Linked DNA regions of Oryzias latipes. The protein of the gene in region 2 interacts with the protein of the main gene of each other region in a pairwise test. Links are inferred from orthologs where the notes say so. Each region holds a gene or a part of one and is shown on either strand. Other genes may lie near its edges.

Region 1 (3,754 bases), on a different chromosome or scaffold from region 2:
AGTCATAGCCAGGCAAAACAGGGTCAGAAATGGTAGTTTACTCTGCACCTGAGGATTCAATTCAAGGACAATTTGTTGGTGTAGCTTCAATAAACCACATTTTTCATATGAAGAAGAAAAAAAAAGCTTTACAAGAATTGCAATATTTAATTAAAAATGGTCAAAATTAGCACATACAGAGAAACCTGCAAGATATTGGATTTAGCTATAACTCCATTTCAGTATAGGCAGGGAAAAGAACACTACATTTCATGGTCTTTGAAACATGCAGAAACTTGAAACTTTGTCAAGTTTGTTGGTAAAACCTGAAACAAACCTGGCAGGTGATTTTCGTTTGTATCTATTGCTTCATTAGTGCAACTGACAAACACAGATGCTGGTATTTCTTATCAGCAAATCAAGGTCAGAAAGTTTACCATCCAGTTATTTGGATGAGATGAAAACATGTAAAAACAAGTTGGACTGACAGACTGTTATTGTTGCGTGACATTTGATCAGATCTGTAACAAGATTCTGTTGTTCTGAGTGGATTTTTGGGATGCATTCAACAAACTCATCGAGAGTAAAAACACATTTTTTAAATTTGCCAAGCCTGCAGGAATAGTCTTCTATTATTCATTGTTCTCCAAACTGCGATCCACTTGATAAAATGTGTGAGGTAGAATTGTAAAACTGCTATGAAACTGTTTGTGTTGTGATACTTGTTTCAGCAAAAACGAAAAATAAAAAACATTAAAAAAATCCAATAAAATAGTAAATACAGTAAAAAAAATATTTTGTACAGATTCAACGTTGCTTTAAAGAATTATCTAGAAAGGATGGAAAATCCAATCAATGTTCTCCCCCTTGTTTTATTCAAGTCTTTCCAAAAGGATACACATCTGCAACCGTTTCTTGTTTTTATGAACGTTTTGATAAATCAGACCATTTAAAGTTGTGTATGATGTGTTTTACTATGCCAAACAATAATAGACTGTATATTAAAAAGAAAATAAGAACTTCTAACAAAACCATCTACTGTTCATCAGAATTAAATGTTGTTTTTTTTGCCAGCAGATGGCGCAGTGAGCTAAATACAAATTACAAATCCGTAGAAGAAGAGTTCACCGATAGCTTTCAGTTTTCCTAGTCGGCTACATTTTGATGCTTCATTTCTGGACCTTGCGTGTGCTTTTAGGTAAATATTTAGCCTTTTTGTCTTTAATTAACTAGTTGGCATTGTTATAAAATACTAGATTGAACCTCGGGTAATCACAGTTGTGGAATTTCGAATAGTTTGGTAAAAGAAAGCTAGCGGTGTTAGCATATTTTAGGCTCCTTGTTGTTTTCACTATGAAACTTTTACTGTTGCGATTGTCGGACAATATTCTATTTATATTTGTTATCCATCATTTGTTCTTCCGTCCTTATTATTTCACATCATTTTCTGGATTTAGGTTTTCAGAATGTTTTATTATCGCGTAATTACATGTTAACAAGAGGCGCGTCGTGGAATGAACTTTTATTAAACCATGATCATCATGTCCTCCTATTAAGGGTATTTCATCAGTAATGGATCAGAAACTTTCTTATGATGACTACCAGCTTCCAGTCGTGTTTCTTCCTGCTTATGAGAACCCACCTGCATGGATCCCCCCTCATGAGGTGGGTCACATTCAGCAGAACCAAGTACCGCTCATTTAAAATGGGCGGCACTTGACTATATTGTTTGTTCTATGATCATGTTCATTCCTAAAATATACTTAATCTTGGAGTTGACTTTGAATTAGTGGTCAATGATGAAAAAGAGCACCGTGCAAATATAAGAGTGGTTGATTCCTTAAAGAACACGATTGTTTAAATCTTAACATATTAATTATGTGTCAGATCTCTGCTCAAAACACCAAATCCTGGACCTTTGATAATTAGACATTAAATCATTCCAACTGTAAAAACAGAATGTTAAGTGCTGAAAATAAAATTAAAAAAATAAATTAATACAGTATCAGAAATAAGTATTTGATCCTTTGATGATTTTGTAGGTTTGCCCACTTAAAGAGAAATGGACAGGAAGAAAAGGACATTTTATGAACACTTCTTTACATCCTATTTATGAAATTGGATTTATAAATAGAAAGCAGAAATATAAATAGAAACTCCTAATAAAGATTTATCACAATCATTAAGTTATAAAAGTAAAAGAAAAGAGACAAAACGCTTATTTTTCATGTATTTCTTTGGCAAAACTTGTTTAAACTTGATCAAAGCTCACATTTGAAATGGTTCAATAATCCAGCGAGTTCATCACCCTGATTACAACAACGAGCTGACCCAGTTTCTGCCTCGAACCATCGTGTTGAAGAAGCCTCCAGGAGCACAGTTGGGGTTCAACATCCGAGGGGGCAAAGCGTCACAGTTAGGCATCTTTATATCAAAGGTTTGATTCCATTCATTTTGTCATAATGGGGAGTCTTTTTTTTTCAAGTACCTACATCGGCGTGTGCTGCCTTTGTCATGTACCAACAGGTGGTTCCGGATTCAGATGCCCACAGAGCCGGTCTACAGGAGGGAGACCAGGTTCTTTCTGTAAATGATGTAGATTTCCAAGACATAGAGCACTCAAAGGTGAGTCTGTTTAGTCGCATTAACTTTATTTTTCTATCACCAATAGCACAGAGGTAATTTCAGGACACCCTCCAAACAAGTAGAACATGTTCAGTACAGTGCATTTTGAAGCAATTCAATTGTTTTCTAATCCTACATAACCCCAAGCAACGGACGGCAACAGGTCCCGCAGTCACACTTTCATCTTTAAAACAATAAAGGCAGTAGATTAACCTGTATTGACACTAATAAACGCAAGAACCATCTATACAAGACATACAGCAGGGCGCGCCTCAACAGCAGCAAAGTTCAGGGTGAAACACAAAGAGATTTCTGGCTCTTTTTCAGTGCCATACAGCATTCTAAATCCTGATCAGAGCAGATTATTTCTGGTGGTCAAAAAGTGATCTATAACAGTTTGCTAAGGACTTGTCAAATAAAAGGAGATTGGATAGAAGTTCACAAATGTACGAAAGTCCTCCATCCATGATCTGTTCCCGTTTAGTCTATAGCAAAGAATGTGTAACTTAAGGAAAATTAGGGTGTAAAGAACAGTAAATGTGCAGTAAGGTGCTAAATTGGTGGCAGTTTAGCTCAGGCGGGAGAGCAGGTTGTCTAAAAACCGAGCGCGGCTATTCCGCAGCTCACCGTTCCCCCCAGGGGAAGGGTCAAATGCGGAAAACAATTTCCCCATCGTGGGACAAATAAAAGTAAATTAAAAATAAAAGAAGGGTACTGTAGAAATAAAAGCCAAGTGAACCAGGTGGACACAACAAACTATCCTGCAGCCGACTGAAGAGGCAGGCGCTGCAGTTAAACTATGGAAAAAGGGAATGAGAAGTCTAACACAAAATGTATCTCCATACAATCAAACAAAGTCCCCAAACAAAGTTACAGCCAAATCTCACAACAAAGTGTTACAGCGTATCAGACTGAGCCAGATGCAGCACAGAACAGGCAAGACTGAGGGAAGGTTTAGCAACTTTAACAACAAAAATCTCCATTCCAGGTGGGAAAAAAACGTAAATACCGTCATGACGAAACAACACTGACCACAGTGCGGAGAAATCCTAGCCAAAACGGAGAGACACAGCTGAGTGGGTGGAACTTTCCAGTTGAAACCACAGCTGACCTGCACCAAAAACAAAAAGGGGGAGGGCAAAACAAAACA
Region 2 (3,654 bases):
CGGACTTACTCCTCACCAAAGGTCCCGCCCAAAACTTAGAGACGAATTTCTAACAAACTACTGGCGTTCTGCAGAAACTATGTACTACAAAAATGACAGTTTTTTTTATTTTTATTTTGGATAAAACCAGCACAGTCATAATTAAAAGACCACTGGGAACACTTGGAATAGATCAAAAGATGATCGAAGAGGGTCTTCGAAAGAACCGAAGAGCCCAAGAATATCTGTGCAGCCACTGAAATCCATTGGATTTTAAACAAGAATACTAAAGCTAAACTAAAGGTGCACAGTAAATGAGTGAAGTGTATAATATCTTTTCCAGCTGGTGGGGAAAGGCAGGCGTGTAAAAGAAAATCCGATATGTCCAATAAAACTGCCTGTGCTGAAGCCATTCTTGCGCTCAGAGCCCAAAATCCATGTGTGCTTCCCAAACACGTCCTCTCCTGAGAGCCCGTCTGCTTCTCTGGTCTCTGGGGAAGTAATGGGAGGTAATCGGCACCTCTACTCCGTGCCCTGGGACGGGCCTGAGATCAAAACTCCAAAGTTCAGGACATTCTCCTCAGCAGCAATGCTAGCTGAGACAGCAGAATGAAAGCAGCCAAAGCCATCCCTTGCAGTTTCCACTTGTGTATTTTTGAATAGCAGCCCTCGTCATCTAATGTTTTCTCCAGCTTTCTGTGAATCCACTCACCCCGAGGAGCACACACCCATCCCTGTGGAAAGCCTTTGTGCATTTAGTCCCATTTGTTCTTGAGTGGCTGTACTGGAGACAGAAAAAATAAGGACAGGAGATTTAAAGCTTTTTTGATACAAATCTGTCATCAAGAAAAAAAACCAACACAAGTCATCTGAGGTTAAATGAATCCCATAAACCCTTGCTCTATAACTTCATGTCTCTGTGTGATGATGCTAATAGAAATGAATTAAAAGCTTGTGGGGATGCTTCACTCTGATCAGTCAGAGCCGCATTCCCCTAAACCTTCAGAGACATGCCACATGCGCATGGCATGCTTGTGTTTGATGCTCTGTAACATACGAGTCGTTGCATAACATGAGAGAAAGCTGCAGCTTCTTAAACAAATCCAGAGAACAGAAATGTCAAAAGTGGATGCTTTTAACAAACTCACAGAAAGGATTAAAAAAAACCTCATTTCCAGATGAAAAAAACATCTCTGTAAACTGATTGAGCCAGACATGCAGCATCATCAGCTTTCAAATGTCTTTTTCGCTATTCAAAATCGAAGCAAGCTTCACGGAAAATGCCCAAACTTGTAAAGATCTCACTAACCTTTTGACTGGCCCTGAATGCACCAGCGCAGCATCCGTCATTACTCTCATCCAGGACTCCGTCTCTTTGGCCGTGTCAGTGCAAAAATAGTACGTCCGCATGTTCGGATGTGTGGCCTGATGGGATGAAGGGCAGCAAGAAAGATGCAAAGAGAAAATTCACCTGAAAGACAGGAAAGAAATTAGACAATTCAAGGAAAGGTGGAATGGATTGTTTCAATACATCTCTTATTTGACTATTTTGAGTTTTTATGCATTTAATTTTGATTTCTTACACTGGTCAACTGCACTAAACAGTTAAATCAAATCCTTAAGTCACCACATTTCATCAGATCAAGGAACTAAATCTGTTGGCTGAAGTACTGTAGGACTTACTGTGCTGTTTGCCGCGAGGGAAACTCATTGCTCCGTTGTGGCTCTATTCCCTCGTTGAGAACAAATCCACAAATTGTCAAAGTAGAACCCAAAAAAAGAGAAATCATTGACGATCTCAGCTGAAAATTCTGCTTATCAAAGTCCAGAAAAGCTTTGCCAACTTCAATTTTCCTTATTCTACTTTGAATAACACAGACAGGGCATTATTAAAACAAGAAAAGAAAAAAATCCTCCCATTAGAAAGTGGAACTGAAGAGGTTTTGCCCTGCTCTCCTGTTTCACTAAACTCTCTCTTTCAGCCAGGATCTAAGCTGGAAAAAGAGCAAGCTTTGTGGTTACACAGACCTTTAACAGACTCCTGGGTGTCTGGGTTTGGCTGTATTTGGCAGCACAACATTGTTGTTTCTTTGGGTTCATGTAGAATGCAGCAACTCCATACACAACACAACCAACTCAGAAAATATGCCACTTTCAGGGGATTTGGGTTTTTTAAGATTGTTGCAGAGTTCCTTAACTGCTGCCAGTGGTCCAGTCCCACAGGCACTTTTTTTTCTTCCATTTAAATATTTTGAACAGGAAGTTAAAAAGCTTGTTTTACCTTTTACTGTTGGTGTGATTCAATGTGCATTTAAAAAAAGACACGATTGAAATGTTTCAAACCCCTCTGTTAAGGAAAAAAAACCCACATTGGTCATTAATTTTACTTGAAACAGACTAAATAAAAGAAATATCAATAAAAACCAGGCATTGCTTTTAAATTGCTGTTTAAAAGAATCATAATAAAGCAGCCAACACATGATGGTACATTTTGATAACTTTTTGTTGCATGACTATTAAAGGAAAATACTTTTTTCCCTTTTCAGCAGGTATTTTGGCCCACTCTTCATAACCTAACGGCTCCCACTGTTACAGGGGACTTTCTCCAGATGGCATGTTTTAGCTCCAAACCAACACCTAACTTTCATTGATGTATTTTCAGGATTTTTAAGACTGCATTATTAGTTCTACAAGTACCACCATATTTGTTTAGGTGTGTGTGCTGAACGCTGATGATAAACTTTTACCTTTGTGATCAAAAAGAAAAAGAAAAAAGTAAAAATGTACATAAACTATACACCGACCTAAACTGTTTGGACAGAAAATCCTTTTCTTTTCTTGTTTTTATAGTTTCTCAATAACACAGTAAGAAGACTTACGAGGTTAAGAGAAAGAAAAAACACACACTGACCTTGAACGCATATTTTCTATTAATGTGGTCATCCTCCGCGCATTTGGATATATGAAAGCTCGGTAGAAGGATGCTGCCAAGAATCCCCTCCTCTTTTTCATCTGCAGAGAGAAACATCCATTTGTTAGCATATGCATTCATAAGGAGGGTCCAACATCTGAATCCAACCAGTGGAAAAGATGAGAAGTGATTGTGTGTCCTATCCTGCTGAAATCTTCCAACCCTCTAAAAGTTAACGGGGCCCATGCCGATAATTGAGCACTATACACAGGGGATTAGTGTTCTAAAAAGAGATTAGCTCACCCTCTCCGTTTTGATACAAGCAAACTGCAGTTCTGACCTGCAACACCACATGGAAACTACTAAAGCTGTACAGTATTTGCTGTAGTTGCAGGTTCAAGATTTAATTGCTCATCCTGCGTGTTTCCTGATGAAAAGCCACAAATTCAGCTTCCAAAAGCTAAAAGCATTGTGGGAGATCCTGGGTGCTTTATAATAATCTGATCGCTGCAGGGGATGGCAGCTGAGTTTAGAAGAGGGAGCACGGTTCGTGACCTCTCTGCCCACTTTGTGCTGATGGATACGATTTCCTCAGCGTATCTATCTGCATAAAGCCTTTGGCTCCGCCGCCGTCTGTGGCTTTTGTCAGGCAGTGGGCGGAAAGAACACGACACAAATGACCAGTGCTAAAAATAACAGACTAAATGCTTTTCTGATCAGCACAAATGATGATTATATCTGTATCAAGCAGCACGGCTGAAAAA

The links.
Region 1: the proteins of plekha5 (region 2) and pdzd11 interact in binary tests that used the Homo sapiens proteins (3 or more experiments, as listed by UniProt). The two-hybrid records come from large-scale screens. The link is inferred for Oryzias latipes from reciprocal best matches to the Homo sapiens genes PLEKHA5 and PDZD11.

The regions. Positions count from the first base shown.
Region 1 is NC_019868.2:11,259,743-11,263,496, reverse strand, and holds the start of pdzd11 (PDZ domain-containing protein 11), read left to right. Parts: upstream 1-1,046; 5' UTR 1,047-1,177; intron 1,178-1,536; 5' UTR 1,537-1,551; coding exon 1,552-1,644; intron 1,645-2,275; coding exon 2,276-2,416; intron 2,417-2,505; coding exon 2,506-2,604; intron 2,605-3,754. UniProt on the Homo sapiens protein: Mediates docking of ADAM10 to zonula adherens by interacting with PLEKHA7 which is required for PLEKHA7 to interact with the ADAM10-binding protein TSPAN33.
Region 2 is NC_019864.2:14,294,838-14,298,491, forward strand, and holds part of plekha5 (pleckstrin homology domain-containing family A member 5), read right to left. Parts: intron 2,992-3,654; coding exon 2,891-2,991; intron 2,884-2,890; exon of another isoform or gene 1,663-2,883; intron 1,451-1,662; exon of another isoform or gene 1,405-1,450; coding exon 1,289-1,404; intron 764-1,288; coding exon 692-763; intron 1-691.